3 linked regions of the Xenopus tropicalis genome follow. The protein of the gene in region 3 purifies or fractionates together with the protein of the main gene of each other region. This does not show direct contact. Links are inferred from orthologs where the notes say so. Each region holds a gene or a part of one and is shown on either strand. Other genes may lie near its edges.

Region 1 (7,065 bases), about 16 Mb from region 3:
AGTTAATGTTCTAAGGTCCATTACATGAAAACGACAATGAACCACCTCGGTTCTGAACCCCTCCAATAACAGCACAACTTCAAAGCCTTTCCAATGTCAGTATCCATCAGCAACGACCAGAGATATAACAACTGCACCCCACCCGATGATCACAATAATAGTCGCACACTGTAGGCAGACATATTCCGTTTGGGTAAATAGATTCGTTATACACGGGGAAATGCCCACACTAAAAATGTCTCCTGACGCGCGCCTGACGTATTTGCGTCCTTATGACGTTTCCCAGCGCGCCATTGGAGGTTGTAACGCAGCAACCGGGAGTCGGGATTTTCAATGATGGAGTTATCTCCCCGGGCCATTACCGTGCATAACTTCTCTGAGAGGATCTGCGAACAGCTCGTGCATTTCCATGTAATGGGCATGGAGGATTGCTTCTTCCTGTGGGTCGGGAACTCGCCTGTCTTAGCCAATTTGTCTGTGGCTATGTGCAGTAGATTTGTGAGTTGGTTTCTATCAGGAAGTTAAAGAATGTCGTCTCCGATCTGTGCATATTGGTCCTACTATGGTTGAGTTTGTTCAAGCTATTGATACATTAATATTATATTATATACCTTATCCTTCAGAATGATGAAGTATTAGCTCCGTTTCCTCTAATGATGAACTGCGCTGTCACCCAAATCATCTATATTCCTTAGGATATGTATTTCATTATGTAAAGGGATTCTGCCATTATTTTTAAGGAATAGTTTTTATGACTATATTACACTGTTCACATTGTAAATAATTTATTCTACCATTTTATTGGGGTGTAGGCAGCCATCTCAGTGTATTGTGCCTTTCAGAAGGAGCCAGCGCTACACATTCAAACTGATTTCAGATAAGCTATTGTTTTTTCTGCTCTGTGTAATTAAATAACAAATGACTGCTGAGATGGAGTTGGATTTTTAGTATTGAGTGCTATTCTCACAATGGGAGCCCTTTTAGCAATACAGGTGTCAGGGAGCTGCTATCTTGCTACCTTCCCATTGTTCTGCTGATCAGTTGCTGGGAGGGGGTGATATCTCTCCAACTTGCAGCTCAGCAGTAAAGTGAGACTGAAGTTCATCAGAGCACAGGTCACATGACTGAGGACACCTGGGAATTGAAGAATATGGCTAGCCCAGTGGTTCTCAACCTACCTAATGCTGCAACCCTTTAATACAGTTCTTCATGTTGTGGTGACCCCCAACCATAAAATTATTCCTAAGACCATCGGAAATATGTGTTTTCTGATGGTCTCAGGCGACCCCTGTGAAAGGGTTGTTCGACCCCCAAAGGGGTCCCGACCCACAGGTTGAGAACTGCTGGGCTAGCCCAATGTGAAATGTCAAAGTTAAATTTTAAAAAAATCTGTTTGCTCTTTTGAAAAACTGATTTCAATACAGGATTCTGTTGGAGAAGTGTTATTAACTGATGCGTTTTGTAAAAAAAACATGTTTTCAGTGACAGAATCCCTTTAAAGTGTTTTAAAGGTGTGTATATCAGGAGTATTTTTGCTTTAAAAAGGTCAACTTTCCTCAGCAGCATTCTGGCTGTCTGACAACTTTCAGGTCAGAATGCAACCTTAAAGGCTATATGTGGTGTTTTTATGCCTCTAATTACAGAGTTGCAATGTGGCATTAAAAAAATGCCTGTGGAAAAAATTCTAGAATTTTATAGAGAAGTCAGTGCATGTACAACATGCTGCTTGGGACAAACTGTTACAGCCGTGGCGATTAATCATGCAATTGATTTTCAAAAATCATGGCAACTAATCGCTCCATATGTCTTCACCCTTACCAGCCTAACTGGCTCTGATAAACTTCAGTCTCTGTTTACTGCTACGCTGCAAGTTGGAGTGATATCAACCCCCTACCCCCGAGCAACAGAATAATGGGTCGGTAACAAGATTACAGCTTCCTGACCCCACTGACAAAGGATTCAGCTGCCTGAACTGATAGTATCTCCCAGGACTAATAGCACTGCAAGTGAATTTTAGTGAGTGGTAAACAGGCAAAAAAAAAAATACAGTGATTGCAGCATATTTAATATTTCTTCTATTACTGATTTATTTTCTAGAAAGGAAAGCCATAACAGCAGTCTTTGTGGTATAGCGAAAGCTTACATTTGTTACTTATTTAGGGTTATGTATATGCATACTGTATAAATCTGATTATAACATCAAAAGCCTATTTTAGAAAAATAATTAGATACTTTTTTAATCATATTTTTTTAGGATTCAGTCCCTTTATCTACATTGGTTCTTGGGGATACCTCTGATATGACGTCAACTTCTTTTGCACAACGATTAGGTATGTATTAAAATTCCCATTGCATAAGTATTGGCATAGACAAGCATGTCTTTGTGTCTTGCTGAGATAAGAGGGTATGGGTTACGGCTGTCTTGATGTGTTGGCATACAGTCCAATATGGGGGCTGATAGTCAGGATATTAGAGTGTCTGCATAACTGTTCCCAGCATGATAGCATGCCTTTCTGTTGCTTCCCATTATTTGTCAAGCACTGCCCACCTCTCACCATAGGGATGTGAATTGGTCAGGTTGGTGTCACTTAGTTTGAGCTCCTTTGTCTAGATCTGGGTCCCAGCAGAATTACCCATAGTGCTGTTTGTTGCTCTTTCCCGATTGGATTTGAGATTTGCCAAACCCATGAGATGTCTCCTGCACATTCTTAGAAGTTTGTTAGTGTGACAGTGAATAGTTTACAGTTATTGCAATATTATCCAGAAGTCTGTTAGTTTTACTCCCAGTTTGGGATTGAGCATGCTATATCTTGTAAGTGATTAAATGGAGTATGTCCAGGGAATAGGGAAAATTATATTATACTTGCATGATTTTACTTTCCTGGATGTACTCCATATCCACAAATTCCCATTCCTTCTGCAAAGGTTGTCTTATACAGATACTCCTACTGAGGGATGACATGGAGTACAGGTATGGGATCTGGTTTCAAAAACCTGTTGTCCTGAAACTTCCAAATTAGGAAAACTCTCTCTAATAGACTCCGTTATAAGCCAAAAATTCAAATATTAAAAAATGATTTCCCTTTTCTCTGCAATAATAAAACAGTACCTTGTACTTGATCCTAACTAAGATAAAATTAATTCTTATTGGAGGCAAAACAATCCTGATGAGTTTAATGTTTAAATTATTTTTCAGCAAACTTAAGGTATTAGAAAACCCCTGGACCCAAGCAGGTCCCATAGCTGTATTGCCAAGAATTTTTCTTTTTTATATGCTCTTTTACCATTCACAAGCATCTTCGATTAATCACTGCAAAGCCCAGCACTTTTGACCCAGAGATAGGATTAATAGGTGGCCTATCCTTATTTCCCTAGTGTCTGATCTAGAGCCACTTGTCCATGATTTGTTACTAGGCAGCAATACGTTGGCCAGGAGAAAGAATCTGAGAGCAACATGTACTGTAGCAATGGGGACTTACCAGTCATTTGCCTGGGGCAGCAAAGAAGCCTAGGGTTGGTTTTGACAGGCATACACAGAAAAGACAGGCAGGTGGGAGTTGATTGACTTAAAAATAAATATTTTCTACGCATTTAAATATAATGTGGTGGTACCCTGCACTGGTGAAAAAAATGTGTATTTGCTTTTAGAAACACTAGTACCCTTTATATAAATGAGCTGTTCTGTAGCCATGGGGCAGCTAGTTAAGTAGGGCAAAAGGGGTCATGTAAACACAACAGATAAGCTCTGTAGAATAATGGATTTTAGTTCTTATACAGGAAGATAAACAGGGGTCATATGTAATTTATGGCTTTAATAAAGGTCATGGGATATTTCCTGTGATGCTGTTTGACACTACCAGCGCTGGGTATCAAGCAGAAAGCCTGACATGTAAAAGATATATCAGATACAAATATCCCTATTAGACACCAGGTAATATTGCATCTAGCATGGAAGGTGATCAGTACATAAATGCAAGTGTTCCATCCCAAATGTTGGAGGAATGAATTACAGAACATGCACTAATAATCTGCAGCATGGTGAAAGCAGCAGCAAATACATTCATGTTTATTTTCTCATGTCATCCCTATTAATTTAGCCCATTAGCTAAAGCTTTAGAAACTAATTAAGCACTTCATATTAAGAAGCCCATGTCATCCTTTTGGAGTGTTTAATGAAGCAAAGTTAAATGAAATTGTGTTTAACTTGCAGCAAAGAAGACTAAAAAGCAAGTGTTTGCCAGTGTGAACATCCCCAATAATGAAAGCCAGCTAATGCTACTGATTGAGAAACGCATCAGGCAGGAGATGGACACCTTTCCTGAGAAGTTCTGATGGTCTGATTTTAAAGGCACCTGATTTACTCCTTTACTTTGTGATGAAGTTAATACACGCAGAAATGTGCTGTTGGTTCCACGTGAATTCCATTACAGGAGACCTGAAGATCAGTCCCATGTATAGCTAAGAAGCAGTGCAGGGGAAGTACAGCATTCCCTCCAAAGGCATACTGTATGTACCAAAAGTGGGTCATGTGATTGCTCAGCTAAGTAGATCCATTGTTAACACACGAAGGTTAAACTGCCTTTTCAAATGTATTTCTAGAGAAACCTATTTTATTAAAAAAATGACTAGTAATTAATGAGTATTTCTTTCTTATTTAAAGGGGAATTATTGTGAAAAAATAATTTGTCATAAAAAAAAGGAACTTCCCAAATAAAATATACTAAAAATGAATTGCCCTTTCTAGAATACTCCATCTCTGCAATATGTTTCTCTATTTGCAGGGGATGGAGTAAGATTTTAATTGACATTAAGGTCAGATACATTGGTGTGTTCGCTCTGCCTTGATGATGTTTTAGAGCTATCTTTTTAAATAACCAACACTAAGCTGCATATAGAGAGACAGTTTGTAGAGACGGGGATAATGAGGAGTAGCTTCATTATTCCAGAAACGGTACAGAATTGGTTTGATTGGTTATTTTTATAAAGTTTTTTATTTCCCTGAGGTAAGTCCTAAATTAGCTTTCCTTTGCAATTGGCAGTCAACATTGGATCACATTGCTCATGACTTGTGGGTTTATGGGTTTCTGTACAAATGCGAGCACTCATTTATGCTTTAAGAACTTAATCAAAGCAAGAGAACAAAAGTTAAGAATGGCTCACCCAAAAAATTTGTTAGCACTTTTGCAGTGCACACCCTTTCTTCACTGCATATATATCTAACTATAAAACAAGGGACCGGTAAATACAGGTTATAAGTGTGATGGTACAGGTGAGCAATCATTTTTTTTTCCGGATTTTAAAACATTTATATTTTATAGTTCTGCAACTCTAAGGGGCTGATTTACTAAGACACGATTTCGAATCCGAATTGGAAAAATTCTGATTGGAAACGAACATTTTGCGACTTTTTCGTATTTTTTGCGATTTTTTCGGCGTCTTTACGTTTTTTGCGTAAAAACGCGAGTTTTTCGGCGTCTTTACGATTTTTGCGTAAAAACGCGAGTTTTTCGTAGCCATTACGAAAGTTGCGCAAACTCGCGTTTTTTTCGTAGCGTTAACACTTGCGCGCAAAGTCGCGCCTTTTTCGTAGCGTTAAAACTTAAAAGGCGCGACGTTACACGCAAGTTTTAACGCTACGAAAAAACTCGCGTTTTTACGCAAAAATCGTAAAGACGCCGAAAAACTCGCGTTTTTACGCAAAAATCGTAAAGACGCCGAAAAAATCGCAAAATTACCAATCATTACGAAAAAAACGCAATCGGACGCATTCGGCCCGTTCGTGGGTTAGTAAATGTGCCCCTAAGGCTTTGACTTTCAATTGCTGTCTGGTTGCTAGTGCTTACTTAACTGCAGTCTGCAGTTTGGGTGTCAGAAAGGAAAAGCAATAGGAGAGGGCTATAATAATAAAAAAATAAAAAGCAGCAACTAAAAATAAGAGAAACAATAAAATTAAATCCTAACAGATAATCTGTTTTTAGGTTGAAGGAGTAAGCAATCCCCTACAACCTGATCATTGCAGCCTGGAAATAAGCATCAAAGGAAACCTAAGGATTTAAAAACCACATAAAATGCCAATTGAAAAAGTCATTTGAACAGTCCATCTATAACATACTGATGAAGATGAACATCTTCCTTTAAAGTCTGAGCTGAATTACATATTATGAACACAAATCTGACTGTGACAAAAGTCACTTGGAGATGGTATGTGTGTGTGATACAAGAGACAGACCTCACCTAACTCTGCTTGCCTGCCATTAAAGGGGTAGCGGCCTACATCAGTTCCAGTGTAAGAAGCTGTGTAAAATGCTGTAATTGCAAATGCAGAATTTGCACAGCAATTTTTGAACAGGGCTTTGCAGTCGCCTAAAATCATTATGCAGCCGGATAAATACACTGGATTTTGCATGGCGATCCACAGCATTCAGCCAGTGAAGTCTGGTGTGTTTCACTCCCATTTATTTATTTATTTTTTTTAACATGGCTTAATATGTCTCAATGTGTTCAGTATTTAGCCTCTACTTACCTGACCCATTTATTGTAACACTAAAAGCTTGACACTAACTTACAAGTACCACAAGAAAAATACACCTTTTGACAGTTTCTATGTTTTTATTTCTGTACATATACAGTACAAAGTATTTTGCTCAGATACAACCAGATGACATGCACACATTTAGCTTCTAAGACATTTTCGGTACTTGATTTGAAGCTTGTGCTATGGATGAGCACCACCAGACTACTTCTTATGAGTAATTAAAAAAAAAACAGTAAAAACAATTTCCTATTTAAAATTTTGGCAGATAAAGCCATCAACTGTTGAAAAGGAAAAAAAAAATTAAAAATATTACCACTTTCCTTCCTTTGTTGATGTACAGGTAACATAAAAAAACAGACACAATATCCCTAGAGCAGTGTAGAGACTGCTTAGCCCATTGAAACACAAGACCAAGTAAGTACACCAAAGATCATTACCTTCCAGTTTATAGTGCACCATGAAAACACAGGTTCTTTAAATGCAATGTATATGAGTTTCCATCATGTACTCGGAAGCATAGGTAAGTGTAT
Region 2 (7,533 bases), on a different chromosome or scaffold from region 3:
CTTGAACGTGATATAAACTCGACATGGTATAAATATTGCTGTATAATAAAATGTCATAATAATGCTTGAATCGTTTGAACAAAAATTTCAAGTTTACATTTGAAAGTCCCAAATTTTTCTAGTTTTGTTAATACTCGAAAAATTTGAGTTTAAACAGACATTCGTTTCCATGAATCCTCTTTTTTTTTCCCAAACAGGAATTGCTCTAGCAGCCATTTTAGAAACACTGGCACTCCTTGAAAACAATAATGTGTTAAAGTTTTACTTTAAACTGGGTGAAACTGAAAACAATGAGGGGGTTAAGTTCCCCTTGAACTGGGTGAAACTGAAAACAATGAGAGGATTAAGTTCCCCTTGCACTGGGTGAAACAGAAAAAAATGAGGGGATTAAGTTCCCCTTGAACTGGGTGAAACTGAAAACAATGAGGGGTATTAATTTGTCCTTGAAGGACAGGCTGTCAATGACTATTCTATTCCTCTACTATTCTAAGCCTCCATTGGACTCAATGGTACTCAACAGATCAAACCTGTCGAATTTTCATTTTACAAAAAAAAGTTAACTAAACATTAATAAATCACAAATTATGGGAGTTATTTTCAGAAAACTAATTTTTCTGGGAAAAATAACAAAAAACTTTTATTACATACATTGCGCACTTTTGCAAAAAATAAGGGGCACATTTACTAAAATTCCTTTTTTTCTGGCCTTGAACGTGATATAAACTCGACATGGTATAAATATTGCTGTATAATAAAATGTCATAATAATGCTTGAATCGTTTGAACAAAAATTTCAAGTTTACATTTGAAAGTCCCAAATTTTTCTAGTTTTGTTAATACTCGAAAAATTTGAGTTTAAACAGACATTCGTTTCCATGAATCCTCTTTTTTTTCCCAAACAGGAATTGCTCTAGCAGCCATTTTAGAAACACTGGCACTCCTTGAAAACAATAATGTGTTAAAGTTTTACTTTAAACTGGGTGAAACTGAAAACAATGAGGGGGTTAAGTTCCCCTTGAACTGGGTGAAACTGAAAACAATGAGAGGATTAAGTTCCCCTTGCACTGGGTGAAACAGAAAAAAATGAGGGGATTAAGTTCCCCTTGAACTGGGTGAAACTGAAAACAATGAGGGGTATTAATTTGTCCTTGAAGGACAGGCTGTCAATGACTATTCTATTCCTCTACTATTCTAAGCCTCCATTGGACTCAATGGTACTCAACAGATCAAACCTGTCGAATTTTCATTTTACAAAAAAAAGTTAACTAAACATTAATAAATCACAAATTATGGGAGTTATTTTCAGAAAACTAATTTTTCTGGGAAAAATAACAAAAAAATCGAGTTCTGGTGAAAACCCACTTGAAAATTTTGAAATTACTTAGAAGTAAGAAAAAATCCGACTTTATCGTGCCGACTTGGCAATTTGGCTTTAGGTGGCATGATGACTTAGGCATATGGCACATGTTTGGATTCTCGTGCAAATGCTTTCTTACTGGCAATAATATAAATGCAGCAGCAGGCCCAGGGTTTGTGAGCCACCAAAGCAAAGACCCGCACCTCCTGCTCCTCTCCTCTCACTCGCATGCATGTGTGCACACTGTCTCATGCATCCCCCGAGCCTGCAAGCACTCGAATGCTGAATCCCAGTTTTGCATGGGGGGCCTTTAGACTGGTTAAACCCCAGGACTTCAAACTGGCCAAAGGAGTAAATGCCCAGAACTTATCATCACCACTACTATTGTGCCCTAGGCCAGGGCCGTCATCAGAAACTTTGGGGCCCCTCACAAGTTTATATATGCGCTAATTAACACAAGCCTTCCATTGACTAATGTGCTAATAAGTCATTCAGTTTATTGGGGGTCAGTAGAGTTTGCCCTTAGTTTAACCCCTTACCACCTATGTGCCCCTGCTCTGTGCTGTCATTGCTTGATATGGAAGTTATGTAATTTTTTTGCACAAGTTACATAAACTGCATAAGTTTAGGGGCCCTAAGTCAGTATTTTAATTGGGGGTTCAGTTGAGTTTACACGTAAGTTTCTTTGAAAGTAACGTAAGTTTTTGCAAGCTGGTAAATTGCGTAAGCGTCGGGGCCCAGTGATGTTCATGTAGGGGCCAATAACCAGTCATTTCCTTGCTGGAAAGTTCATGTAGAAGACGCTAATATAATTCAGTAAATAGAACCCAATATAAACAGCTGATGTTTCACTGTAATAAGCACTTCATATAAATAGTTAAAATTAATAATTAATATGCTAATAAGTCAGTCAGTTCACTGGGGGCAGTGTAATTTACCTTAAGTTTTTTAATTCTTCAGGAGTCAGTGGAGTTTGTCCCTGAAAAGCTTCTCTGTGTTGTCTTTTACTTGATACGCAAGTTACTTAAGTTTCTAGGCAAGTTACATCGTTTACTAAGGCGTTTTTGCTGAAGATATGTTAATTAAGTACGTTAAGGTGTAACTCTATGCATAACGTCGCAATTTTTTTAACTTTCGTGACACGACCAGGCCCCTTAACAAAAGATTTTTTACAGGGCCCGGCAAAATTGTGTGGCCCTGTCTAAGGCACCTGCCTCTCCTGTCTACTTCTAGTTCCAGCCCTGTGTAAAAGCTACTTTGGGAAACTCAAGTGACACCTATGTTTTCCTAAAGTTATCAGATCACATGAAAAACTAGGAGAAAATCCAACTAGAAGGGTTGCACTGATTGCAATTTAATTTAAATGCAACCAGTGCATTTTTTTAGAAGAGTTCCTGAACTTTCAGGTGAGTTGGTAAGAGTAACCTGTACCTGTAAGTACACTTCAGAAGAAAATTACGAGTGCAGTGAGCTACTAATAGAACTAACTTATTTCAAATTACACAACAATTTAATCCCTATACCTTTATATAGTATTTTCTCATTTTCACCCCTTAAAAATTCATCTGAAAAACATGTACAGTTAATACTAGCAGTTAAAGAAAAGCAGCCCTGTCTGTAAGATCAGTCTGTCTCTCTGTTCAGGTTTATGGAACTCTTGGAGGAATGATAACACGACAGCCTTTCGCAATAGGTGGGTCCGGCAGTACATATATTTATGGTTTTGTGGACTCTACATTTAAGCCTGGGATGTCTAGAGAAGAATGTGAAACATTTGCAGTTCAAGGTGAGATAAAAACACAAAAAAGGTTCTGCTTTGCCATTTCTTCACCCACTGTGCAGGAAATAGAAATCTAGACATGTTGCTTTGTTAGCAATAGTGGAATAGGGCAGAGATGGTTTATTCTGTCTGAATTTGTTTGATCATTTAATACATTGCACAAAGAACAGTAACATAGCAACCAATTAGGCATTTGCCTTTATTATTCTGCCTGTAGTATACAAAACAAAGCTAATAATTTGTTCATTCAGCACAAATACTGTGGAGTCTTCAGTTGATATTAGGTATTCCTGATTGCAGCTGCCCTTCACTAGGCCTTATCTCCTATCTCTGAAGGAAATCTCAAAATTGATAATATGGTACAGTACCATTATTTAATTAGAAACATGCTGTGCCATGTTAATGTTCTAAAAAACGTGTTTGAAATGTGCTTGAAATGTGCTGGGGACACTTCAGAAAAGTTAGACCAAGGATGACAGGTCAGTCAACCAATGGTAAAATTGCCTACTCACCAAAACTTTAAAGCGATACTGACACGCAATATACTTTTTTTAGTTCATTATTATTTTTAAACCTGCCATGGTGTTTTTATTGTTTTAAGATACTAAACTGTTTCAAATTTAAAAATTTCAAAAAACTAAACAAAATTTCAAACAAGTAGTTGCATTACCATAAGGAACGCATCAACCAAAGCTCAACAGGGCAGCCATTTTTTCTCTTCTCTTCAGTGCTACGTTTTACATGCCTTCATTAAAAAAAACCTAGAGGAATCATCCAATCTGGCGACCTGTGCTGCCCTTTCTCCCTTCATGTGCTCCTTAGTTCATCTCACATGAAGGCTTAGCTCAAGTCCCTGCTCTGTGTGCCTGCCTGCTCTTTGAAGCAGGCAGGCAACGGAAATATCTGTGTCTGCTATCTGATTGTGCGAGGAGGAGGGGGGGGGAGAGTACCTTGAAGCAAGCAACCGAGAGGACCTTGAAGCAGGCAACAGAGAGGAGCTTCCTTATACTGCCGATGTGAGGGTCACGTGTTTATTTATGCCGGCTCAAAGTATGGGAAAGTGAAAAGGGAGGGTTTGTGACGTCTGCTAGCTCCTCTTTTGACAGGCAGCTTGAGAAGCTACAGTCAGGTTGCCAGACAGTAGGGTCCAGGATCTCCTATAGGATTTATTTAGAGAACCAGAACTTTCAGAAAAAAATAGTCAACATGACCTATAGGTAGGTTTGAATGTAGATTAACATGTTGATAAGATTTTTTTTGGTGTCAGTATCACTTTAAGGCTAATGCCAGACGTGGGGTTATGCGCCTCCTACCTGTGCCTGCACCCGAATGAAGGAAATACGCTTGGGTGCAGGCACATGTAGTTAATATCCGCCGAAGATATGAAGTCTTGTGGTTTTTGGCGGGTATCCCAAAACCCGAGTGTATTTTATTCATTCGGGTGCAGGCACAGGTATGAGGCATATGGCATTACTTTCAGCAAACGATTTTTGGCTTGCCGAAAATATATGCCAAACACCACGCCTGGCATTAGCCAGACCGTGCTTCTTCAGAAGGAAGAATTTATGGATTCAGCATAAATTTGGTTGATCTGTACTTACCTTTAAAGTTTTGGTGAGTAAGGATTTTATCATTGGGTGTTGCACTTGGCACTTTATCCCAATGAATTAAAGAGGGAATGCATGGGAAGAGAGAATAAATCATTGTTTCAGATCAGTGCAAACATATTTGTTGATATGGTGTGTGTTTTATATTTTGATTTTAGCTCTATCCCTGGCAATGGAGAGAGATGGCTCAAGTGGAGGAGTTATATATTTAGTAACTGTGACCAAGGAAGGAACTAAGAACAGAATCATATCTGGTGACAACATCCCTCGCTTTTATAATCTGTAACATAGTGTGCAGGAACTGATTACTCAACTACTACTAATTCAATAAATTTGTGCTCTCTATCAAAAATCCATCCCTTGTGCATAGTGATATTTAACTTCCTCTTTTAACTGTTATCACATTACATGATACAAATATAAAAACAATATTTGTACACTGAACACTTACTTCCTATAATAATTGGTATAGAGTGCAAAAGTTACCATGTTAAGCCTTAGTACACTTTTCTGCAACAATATCATGTAACCCTAGACCATTCTAACACAATGTCCATATTTCTGCTAAACTTTGTTCCATATGACCCAACATCATATCTTTCATATACGTAGTTAAGATATACATGAGGTTGAAGTTGCAAAATAGTGCAAAAGTACACTACATAATTATTCTTATACCCAACATGCCAAAACAGTTTATTCCATTGCAGCTTCATCTTGGTGCAGGCAGGAAACATTGTGCATTGTGCATTTTATTACCAAAATAGTATTATTTACCCCAACCGGAGTTGTTGGAAAGCTTTTGCTCTGGGTATACACTCAACTTGATTTTAATTTTCATTAATTTTTTCATATATTTATTGTCACTGTTGCACTTGTAACACAATTACAGTGGTTGCTGGGGCAACCACTTGCACCGCAAAGATTTCTCATGTGCTCTTTTACTGCTGTAGCTACATATGTGTCTGGTTCCAGGGGTCAATTCATGGTAAGTACTTGTGGTTTTAAGACGCTGTACACACTGAAGCTCCTATTCACTAATGAAGTGGAGGCGGAGCCCCACAAAATACACTGGAATCATTGGTGTAACTAGATGAAACAGACCCTGTGGTGCTTTCTCCATTGTTGCATATAAATCTAGCACAGATTCCCCAAGAGTGACAACAATTTTTTTCTGTAAATAAAGGAAACCCTGCACTATAGTAAATTTTGGGTGCTCACTGTGTAGTAAGTAAATTGAAATATAATTAGTAAAGACAACACATTTGAGTGGCACACCTACTTAAAAACACCTTTATAACCATTAATTTAAAATCATAATAATGAAATCATAGGTAGGAAACTTAAAAAAACACACAATCCCTGTACCTGTTAATTCTCTAATTAGCTAGTTAATTCTCTAATTAGCTAGTAATTAATTAGTAGGCATTAATAAACACATTGTTTCCAAACCTTGGCCACAGAAATAGTTGGTGCTTTTCTTGCAGTGGGTTAGACTATATGTATAAATGCATTCTGTTCACTTATAACTGTTTCTCAGTTCTAATTGTATTAGTTGCTCGCAACATTTGTAACTTACCCGTATATACTCGAGTATAAGCCGATCCAAATATAAGCCGAGGTACCTAATTTTACCTAAGAAAACTGGAAAAACCTATTGACTCGAGTATAAGCCTAGGATGGGAAATGCAGCAGCTACCGCTTAGTTTCAATAATCAAAATAAATTCCAATAAAATTAGGATCTATCAATCTTACTGAACAAATTCCTGCAGGGAATGAGTATGCGAGATGCCAGGCTCCCCCTACTGCCTCCTCTAGCAGGGTCACATGGAGAAGGAATCACTCATTAATACCTGTGTTGCTAATGGACCACCCCTCCATTCAGCTTGCGGTTTCCTTCAAGGAGCTCCCCCTCCCTCCCTCACTCACTCGCTCCTGCATTGTGAACTTTCCGTTGCCTGCCTGCCTGCTTCAAAGAGCTCTCCCCACTCGCCACACAAAGTAATAAATCGCAGGCCAGTTTGAACTTTCCCGTGCCTGCCTGCTTCTAAGGGCTCTCCCTCCCCATTAGACACTGGAGCTAAAGCAGGGAGTGTGTGACATCACGCCGGGGGCGGAAGGAGTCAGGAAGGAGCGGCGCGTAGAAATGCGCACAGGGAATCAGGTAGCAGAGGGACTCGAGTATAAGCCAAGGGTTAATTTTTCAGCACATTTTGAACCTCATTTTCCAGTTTGCTGCCCAGTTTTCCAATTTTGTCAAGTCGCTCTGCAAAGTGGCAGCATCCTGCATGGAACTTATAGTTTTGCACAATTTAGTGTCATCAGCAAAAATAGAATTAGTACTTTCTATGCTCACTTAAAAAGCAAAGGACCAAGGACTGACCTCTGCAGTACTCCAGGCCAATATTCCTCAATTTTATCATTAATCTTCTGTGAGGTACTGTATCAAACGCTTTAGCAAAGTCCAAACAGATGACATCAACTGATATTCCAGCATTGAGGTTTCTGCTCACCTCCTCGTAAAAGGCGACTAAAATCTGTTACGCATAAAACCATGCTGGCACAAACTTATAGTATTGTGAACTGCAATGTATTCAAGTACCCTATCTCTTATTACCCCTACTACTGATGTCAGACTAACAGGTCTATAGTTTTCAGGCTGAAAATGGGATCCCCTTTTAAATAACGGCATCACATTAGCAATTCGCCAGTCTCTCAGCACCATGCCAGACCTCAATGAATCCAATGAATGAAGTGAAGAGGCTTGGCAATCACAGCGCTAAGCTTG
Region 3 (9,269 bases):
GCTCTTTTACCTAGTATCAGGGCACAGGACTGCAGTGCAATTTATCATAGACAGCAAACTTATGGCTCATAATTTACAATCATTTAATAGCTGTTGGCCATGGAAAGCAGCACAGTATATCCAGACACTAGAAAAACTTTTATTTAACATTCACAGTTATTTGCATTTCGGAAAGCCTGCATTCACAACATTTAAATCTGTTAAGCTTTCTCTTTCCCTTTAATGCTCTAGCCCCAATATGCAATAAAAGTCTGCCCAGGAGCAGTAACCCATAGCAACAAATAACGTGTTGGCTTTTAAACAGGTGACCAGTAAATGCTACCTGCTGATTGGTTGCTATGGGTTACTGCTCCTGGGCAAACTTAGAAACTTTTATTACATAACCCCATAAAAGTTTCTGTTTATTAGACAACTTGGCTGATATTAAACAACTGCCATGTATTGAATGGTCAGATATTGACTGATTTGACTAATTGCATAGACCACTGTACCTTGTTGCAAGCTTTGGTCAGCAAATTAGTTAAATAAACAAATCAGAAAAAAATGACAGGAAGCTGCTGCCCCACTCTTCTGGATCTACAGCTACCACATGAGTCAAGCCGGGGTATTTTCAGAGACACCGAGAACTGCAATATGCAGCCTGTACCTGTACAAAACCTGTATACTATAAATACGACTAGCTTACTTTTTTTTAGTGTTCTTGGTTCTTTGTCAATAAAATGTGTGGCTGGCTTTGGTGTAGATGTTAATTCCCTGGTATCCCTGTCCTAAATTAAATAAAACAAATATTACATTAGGAAGTGCATTTCATGAATCTAATAAAAGCACACATTTTTTAACACCCTCCCTAACTCACCTCCATAAAATGAAGTTCCTTCATGACTTCATCAACAATACCTCGCTGCCTTAAGGCTTTCATCAGATCTTCCTCCGATAACTGCTGGCTTTCTGTCCTAAATTCTTCTCTTAACGATTCTGCCAAGACTTCTCGTATTTTGCCGTGCACATCCATCTACAACCACCAAAATGATCAATGATCTTAATTATGTTGTATGCTGTATCGGCACTGTTTTTTTTATTTCCCATTACACTAAAGTTTTATCAAGATATTCACCAGCTTTTAGGATACATATATTTGTATTTTTTTTAAAGGCAAAATATGATACATGCTGGCCTATACTGTTTAAGACTCAGAATTAATGTTTAATATGTTCTTCAATCACAACATATGTAAATAACCAGTAGATGTAGTAAAACTAATGTTTTCAGTTTCAGCAATATAGTGTGTCAGATCCTTTCAAACTAGTCCTTACACATACTTTCACATACAGAGAGACAGAGAGCTGTGATACCAAAACCAAAAAAAAAAAAAAAAAAAAACATTGTCACTGGCTGGAGCATGCTCTCTGCATTGCCGTGTATATTTGTATATACATAGTGTAACCCTGAACTGTCTAATAATTTTAATTCTCTGCTGTGTACTTAGCTTTGCTGGTGATCAAGAGATCTTCTAAGAACAACAAGATACTTCTAGTCAAGTACAGAATTTGTCACTTCTAAGATGGCCAAAAATTAGCATGTATCCTTAAGAAGAACCCCAATTTTATGTCCACTAATTTTGTTTTCCTGGAATTTAAACCATTTTTATTTTTTGGAAAATAAAAAATCTGGGTTGTACTGTATATGCAACACTCATTGGGGGGCACATTTCAAGAAGACTTGTGCAACCTTGATGGTCATTTTAGCACTAAATGTGGCTTTTAAAGGGAAAATATACCTTCTTTTTTGTAATGGTCCACTTCAGTTGTGATTATGTAGAAAAGATGCATAAACATTTTCTAAAATTCCATAAATATAAAATGTATTTTTTTTCACATAGAAATACCAGATTCCACAGACTGAAATGCAAACACTGTGACAGGGACCACAGGTTCACAGTCTACTGAAACTACTCACTCACCATGTTCCATTGTGATGCAATAGATTATGGGACTTGATGTTCCCCTGCTTTCCATAGTGGGTGATGCACAGTTCTATGGAAAGCAGAAAGACTTCAAGTCCCAGACTCCATAAATCACAATGGAACAAGGTGAGGAAAGGGTTGCATTACACCGTCACCACAAAGGAGGTTGGTTTGCAATTGGTCACCGTTTTAACAGACAATCATAGTTTCCTGTGAAATTATGTATGTCTGTGTAAAGGTGGCCACACACATGGCGATCTGCGATCTTTTGTGCGAAAGATCGTCAGACCCGCCACTAACCTTCAGGGCTGAAACGGCAGATAAGGAGGTAGAAACAATAGGATTTCTACCTCCTTCTGCCGATTCAGCCCTGACGGCAGATTTTGCTCAGGCGCCTTCTATGGTGCCCGTAAAAAAGAAAATAGAAGTTTAGATAACAAGTCTCTAAAGGCCGCTCAATGACATGTTCCTTAGCTTTTCTTTGCAGTGAAAATCAAAACCAAATAGGTTTTATTTAATGTGGCTAAGCACAAAAGAAACAGCTAGTTTAGTAGCACCATTAGAATAAAGGAGTAAAAGTTGGGTCTTATCCAAGTTGCCACTGTGTCATAATGGCCTTTAGGCTAGAGGGACATGGCCATTCCTTATACAACTTTCAATTTGGATCTCAATGTAAGAGGGGGAAGAAGACTGCGCTCCTACAAAATTAAACACATGAGTGACCGTGATGGGGCTCAAAAGGCCTGACCTGTTTGGGGCTACAAACCCTTAATTATAGGCTTCCAACTCGGATTGCTTTTGCAGGCAAAGCGTTAAAAGGGTACTCTGGACTTATCACTTAAAACGTTAGTGGCTGGTGTAAATTAGAGGGTTGCCTTTAATCTAAGTAGCAATCATAGCCACAACAGGTGTACATACTGTCAATAAACCATCGGTGCAAAGCTCAATATGCTTGGCTTCTGAGTTTCCACAAAAAGTAAGTAAAGCCTGTAGCATGAGTAACAGTGAAGAGAAGACATTGGCAGACTAGCAGTGTAAATACACCACTGAAACAAAGCAGCAATCTTTATAGGAGTTTGTCTTACTGACTGGGGGCAAAGGACTGCAATAGTACAACTATGTATAACTGCCTCTCATATTAAAAAAGAAAAATGTGATCCCCTACAGGAATCACAGCTTTATACAAATGTCAACCATTCCATAACTACAACTCCCTTAATATTCTGACAACTTCGCTGACCTCCGCGTCTATTAGAACCTGGTATGGTTTCTTACACGGGTCAGCTGTTCGTGGATGATTTGTTTGAGTTCGGTGGCTTTCTCCGGAGGCAGTGCCATGCTGGCTGTGTGAGGACTAAACTACAGAATGATGTATTCACCAAGGGGAGACACCGTCCCACATACAGTCCGTACGTCCGCGTGTCACATTCCTTTCTTTCTCTACTTCCAAGCTCTTCAGGCACAAGGGAACAGACTCTGCCTCAGGTTCTGCTCTACCCGCTCCTTTCCATCTGTATCACGATACGCTACGTACTCACTCTCATACCTCCCTCAAGCAGTCACCCAATAACAACCTAATTACTGTTGCCATCTATTTCCCCGCCCTCAAGGTGGCGGGATACACCGCGGGAAGCCTTCTTTAGCGCTGTCTTTGTTATCAGGCATCGGAGCAGTCAGCCAAAGTACAAAAGCGAAGGCCCCACCGAGGTCCGGCACTAGTGACGCGCAAATTGCGCGCCCGGGTTGAATGTAAAAGTGAAAGATACAGTGCGCCGTCATGTTCGTACCCATAGGCTCTGAGCAGGATTTCCCGAGTGATTATACGCTGCTGCTGGTATGTATGGCTATCGCACTGGCAGGCTAAACGTCTTGGGCACACTCATAGTAACATAAGGGGCTATAACCACTTCTAGTGACAGCTGTGGGAAGGCTCACTCCTGACTGGTCCAGTATCATTTGTCTTTCTCTAAATGTAAAGCTATAAGAATAAGAGAATGTAGTTTGGTTTTTAATATGTGTGTTTATGCTGCAATACTTTAGGGTATGATGATATACTACTACACAGCTCAGGGTGACTGTATCATTTGTAGAAAGAAGTGTTTGCAGGAATCTATGACCTGCAAACAGCATTTGTTCTAGGGATAGAATTGCTACCTAGCAACAACTAATGGGGGTTTTTCAGCAGCCTCCCAAAAATAAGCTGGAAACATTTATTTTGCCACTACAGCCACGTTTCTGCTGTCCCCTTGTGACGTGCTTGTGCCTTTAATATGTGGGAGCAAGCACAGGTCTGCTCAGTGCTGATTGGACAGCATAGAGCAGGGAGGAGAGTAGCTGAAATTAGATTTATTACTGGAAGTCTGCTGGATAATAGTCTTAAAAATAAGGGAATGTCATTGAAAGGAGCAGAGATTTAAAAAGATGAAGATGCAGTTCAAGTTGTAATTGTCTTATATATGGACTAAGAATAAAAGGAGTAATAAACGAGGCTATAGTACCTTGAGCATTAGAAGAAAGTTATCTGTCCTGCAAACTCACTCAGGAAGATAATTGATTACTCGGTTTTCTTAAGCCACTGACATCTGCGTCACACTCCTGGGAATCATTGTCTGTAGAGACAGACCTCCTACAGGGTGCAGGGTTCCCACTAGAGCAGCCCAAACGGGCCTCTTTACTGGGAGTGGAACCATGAGACACGTTTAGTTTAACTTCAAATGGAGAAGAGATACCTCCTTGTTTAATCTTAGGAGTATCCATGTGGGACTGAACCCTGACTGAACCCTTCCTGGGGCAGTCAAATGAGGAGGAAAGAAAGCAGTGTCTAACGTCACTCTTTTTTTTCAGAACAAATAAAAAATGTCTCTCCTCATGTTTAAAATATAAAGGAGATTACACACTCCATTTTGTGTGGTATTTGGAAGGAAACTAAGGTGGAAACATCATGGAGTCTGTAGCAGATAAAGAAACTGCATCCTCCATAAACGCTGAGGTAAAAATCTAATTTTCCCATTCAGCTACTCCCCTTCCTGCTCTGTACTGTTTAAACAGCACTTAACAGACCTGTGCTTGCTCCCACATATTAAAGGTACAAGCACGTCACAAGGGGAAAGCAGAAACGTGGCTGTAGTGGTAAAATACATTTTTCCAGTGTATGTTCAAGAGGCTGCCCCAAACCCCATTAGCTGATGCTAGGTGGCAATCTCCCGTAGAACAAATTAAAGTGTTACATTTTAACCTGCCTTAAGACACTAGGGCTTATTTACCTACATAAGTGCTAAATTACAAAAGTACACTTGGCCATGGCTATCAAACAGCTTTGATAAGTCTATTACCATTCTGAAACGAAAGCAAATATCTGATCGGATGCTAAAGGCAACTATCCTGTTGCAATTTAGGACACATCTATGGAATTTAGCCTCCCCTGTGTTAGGTCTGATGCACAAAGATGACTTCTTACAGGGAAACTAAAGCAAAGCTCACTTAAAACTTAATTACTTAGTCATAACATATCTGCATTGTTTAGCATACTCATGCCATGCACTGAAACATTTTTACTGGTCAGAAGTATGCAGAACTAGATTTTTAGTAATGTAGATAAGAATGTTATAGAAATTTATAACAGGGATTGTTGGTTTACAGCTACACATTCCTTATATGTCAGTGGAAAAAAAAAGCTGTCCTTTGTCCTATCACAATAGGCTGTGTTTGTGGGGAGTTTTGCATTTGCACTAGAGAGTGAGGGTCTTAAGGTGGCCATACATGGTGTAGGGACCCCAAAGAATTGGGCCCCTCCAGGATTAGTTCCCCTTTAGACAGGCACCATGAGGGTGGCCTTATGAGATTTGGACACCTAAAGGTGGTCCTGGGTGTTTATGTGTGAAAAGGGAGTTTCCCTGCAAGTTAACAGCCACCACTAGATGTCGCTGTGCTAAAAGTATAAAAGTGAATGACTCCCAGTTTCAGCAGGTCTTCGTCCTGGGACTGCTTCTTGTAAAGAAGCGTATAACAGGCTTGTGTTCTAGTACAGGAGGTACTGTAACAGGTCACTCTAGGCGTGACAGGCAGGCTAGAGAGAACGGGCAGTGATAGCCCTGACAGGAGAGAGAGGGGTTAAGACCCCCCAGCACTCATGGCTGGAGTTCAGGTCCTGTAGTGTGTAGTAAGAGGAGCCAAGTCAGCACCTGGGAGTGTTCCCAGTGAAGGGGCCCTACGCGTGGACCGTGGACGCGTGAGTTCCTAGGTGGAAGCATCCGGCGGGAGTACCGGGGGTAGCCCAAAGAGAGAGTGTGTGACTTGAGCCGTCTGTGTGACATCCTCTGAAGTGTTCTGCCTGCATCAATAAACAAGTTCATCTGGTTCACCATTTTAACCAGTGTCTTGGTGGTTCATATACTGAGGATCCTCAACTGCCTGGTAAGCAGCTACCCCAAGGGAGGGGCAATGTACCGGGAGTTGCTGGGAGTCCGGGTCCAAGGAGGACCTCATAGAGTTTTCCCAGGGAGGATACATATAGTTCTACCTATACCTACCCTGGGTGGAGGCACGCCATTCATTTATATTACACCTGTCCCCCATAATAAGCGGGGGCTCAGGGCTCCTGTAGCGCCACACGCAGGTGATTGCGTGTTAAAAGTACAACCGTAGCCAAAATAGGGTTACAATGGTAAGATCCGCTCGCTTGGCCCTGGGACCAAACAATCAAATTAGAACGGTATAGGTGCTGTCAGTTCAGGGACCGCATTACCGAGCCTATGCGGTCCCTTATCCAATGGAAAAATTAAGCCTGCCTGATTGAGACCTGCCCGATATCAGGGCAGATGACGGTTGGGCAGGCCCGTCCTTTATGTCCATACATGGTATTTTAGCATTGCTCAAAATTTTATGCAAAATCCAAAAAGTATGGATTTGTACATCCCTACTTTAGAACTACTGAAAAGTTTGAATTAATGTGTGTTTGAAAATTGGTTTGCAAAGCATTTATTTATGCAAATTCTTTTTTTTTCGTGGATGTCCTTTAATTAGTATAGATTAGTAAAAGCAAATGCCTGAGCAGTTTCACTTACAGTGATGAAGTTACACTTCCATGCAAGACACAGGGCAATTTAATAAATATATGTTGTGCAGTAATATTTCTACTAAGTCTTTTTGATAATGATTTCTTAAACATAACTATTGTTTTTTTTCTGTTCCCTTTGTTTTAGCCAGCCATATCAGTTGGAAATGTTGGGCAATTAGCCATTGATTTGATTATTTCAACTTTGAAAATACCAAAAGTGGGGTATTTTTACACAGATTGCCTTGTACCTATGGTTGGAAGCAATCCATATGAAACTGACGAAGAGAATGCAAAGGAACTCTGCACAAACGCTGAAGGTATTTAAAATAATTTCAGTGGAAGAAGTAGGTATTTAATTTAATGTTAGTTATTTGTAGTGGGAGTAGTAGGTACTTGCCTGTGTGGATGGTGTTTGGCTAAAGAAGATTTTTAGTTGCAGAGATTAGACAGAAATTTCTATATTTTGTACCCCAGCCACAGTAGTCTTGGTCATTTGACTATAGCTGAAGAATGGTTGAAGCTGTAGTTCAGCATAAACATGAGACACACAGCAAAGAAGCTTTTCTAACTTGCTCTTATGTTTTTTTTTTTTTAGTGTATGCATTGCCATCCCAGAAACTTGCAGTTCTCCAGCTAAGATCACTTGTTATAAAGGTAAGAATGTTATTAGAAAACTGTTAAATGCAGACTGATTGTACACCGTGAAGTTATACCCTATGGAAAGGCATGTTATAACTAAATCTTTTTTGTATTTAAAGAAAAAATCCAAATCCTTTCGGCAAGCCCTGGTTTCCTGGATTAAAAGATGTGCTTTTGCCAGAGTGATTCTTCTCTCAAGTTGCCATGCTTATCACAGAGATGATACACAGCTTTTTGGGTATGTTATCAGTGTTGTCACCCAGAGTAATTGCAATTGCTTACATGATACCCAAGGCCAATGTACTATCCTGGGGTATTTCTGTAGGAGCTTCTACAGAAATACCCTGGGCTGGTGCAGTTTTTAGCAAGCACTGGCCTTAAATGTTGGCACCCTCCCAATGAATATACTTTTACTTCTTCTTTAAAGCCCTTGTTAGCTTTTTAATTTGCTGGATAATTAATTTTTACCATTGACTTAAAGTATCTTCTGTTTCTGATATCTTTTAAGAAAAATAAAAATCTGGCTGCACTTTTGCTCCCTTTTCACTGAAGAGTTTGGAACAGTATACTATATTATACTGAACTTTTTTAGTCTTTGTAAACATGGCCCTATACTACTAGCCAGGCCCTTTGGGTATTGGGCCCTGCCAAATAAGAAGAATTGGGTCCTGTGTTTAAGAAAAAAAACCAAACAAAATTGCACATATAAAGAAGTCTTACTATGCTCGTAATCTGCACCCAACACCCAAACCCACACAATATGGCTGCCTTTTTTATAACATAATACATTAGGGAAGTGCTGAGAAAATATTGATTCACTTACATTAAAAAAAACCAAGCAATAGCATTTTTATATATTCTGAATCAGTGCTCTGGTTCTGACTTATTCAGATGCAGGCCATGTTTCTAAATGCATTAAAGGAGAAGGAAAGGCTAGTAAAGAGAAAAATATGGATTGGATACGATAATTTCTGAAGATCGCAAATATCACGAAAATGCTTACGAAAAAATCGTATTAGTCACGATAATATCGTATTGGCGATCCCAAAGTCAAGAAATTTTCATACCAAACAATTGTAAACAGTGGCAGAAGCTTTCCGAATTTTTCGCGCTAGTGCGAAAAAAATCGGCGAAAATACGCTCGGAGTGTTCGAATGAACGTTCGTTTCTTAATAAATCTCCCCCTTAGGAGTCAGCTTCCTGCTGTTTGGCTCAGATCCACATTCCTAAGGGGGGGGGGGAGTGAGTTCTTGAAGGAGGGGGGAGCAGGAGAGAGCAGAAAGCTGCGTGTCTGTGGCACAGGAATTAGACACAAGAAATATGTTTTCAGAGAAGTCAGTGCAGCGTTTGAGTGCTTATGGCTGTATTTACATAGACCTTTCTGATAAAGCTTACTTAGTTTTTACCTTTCTTTCTCCTTTATTTACAGAATGTAGATCGTGTAACAGAATTTATGAGTAGAAGTATTATTTAATAAATTATGCTGTAGGAGTAGTAACTTATATTTTAGAGCTAATATTTTTATATAAAGGCTAACAGCCCACAAGCGTTTTGGCTGCCATTACAACAGAAGCATTCAATACTTTTGTCAGCCTGTGTGCATCCAATACA

What was found.
Region 1: the proteins of psmg2 (region 3) and psmg4 purify together in Homo sapiens (affinity purification with mass spectrometry; 3 studies listed by BioGRID and IntAct, counting the BioPlex papers as one, with this or other methods). This does not show direct contact. The link is inferred for Xenopus tropicalis from reciprocal best matches to the Homo sapiens genes PSMG2 and PSMG4.
Region 2: the proteins of psmg2 (region 3) and psmb9 purify together in Homo sapiens (affinity purification with mass spectrometry; 3 studies listed by BioGRID and IntAct, counting the BioPlex papers as one, with this or other methods). This does not show direct contact. The link is inferred for Xenopus tropicalis from reciprocal best matches to the Homo sapiens genes PSMG2 and PSMB9.

The regions. Positions count from the first base shown.
Region 1 is NC_030682.2:87,665,320-87,672,384, reverse strand, and holds psmg4 (proteasome assembly chaperone 4), read left to right. Parts: upstream 1-272; 5' UTR 273-333; coding exon 334-498; intron 499-2,254; coding exon 2,255-2,330; intron 2,331-4,210; coding exon 4,211-4,332; 3' UTR 4,333-4,632; downstream 4,633-7,065. UniProt on the Homo sapiens protein: Chaperone protein which promotes assembly of the 20S proteasome.
Region 2 is NC_030684.2:73,272,120-73,279,652, reverse strand, and holds the end of psmb9 (proteasome subunit beta type-9), read left to right. Parts: intron 1-3,001; coding exon 3,002-3,143; intron 3,144-4,902; coding exon 4,903-5,030; 3' UTR 5,031-5,100; downstream 5,101-7,533. UniProt on the Homo sapiens protein: The proteasome is a multicatalytic proteinase complex which is characterized by its ability to cleave peptides with Arg, Phe, Tyr, Leu, and Glu adjacent to the leaving group at neutral or slightly basic pH.
Region 3 is NC_030682.2:103,527,660-103,536,928, reverse strand, and holds the start of psmg2 (proteasome assembly chaperone 2), read left to right. Parts: upstream 1-4,853; 5' UTR 4,854-4,904; coding exon 4,905-4,952; intron 4,953-7,164; coding exon 7,165-7,336; intron 7,337-7,614; coding exon 7,615-7,673; intron 7,674-7,777; coding exon 7,778-7,896; intron 7,897-9,269. Other genes in the region: cep76 (centrosomal protein of 76 kDa), read right to left, coding at 686-767, 857-1,012. UniProt on the Homo sapiens protein: Chaperone protein which promotes assembly of the 20S proteasome as part of a heterodimer with PSMG1.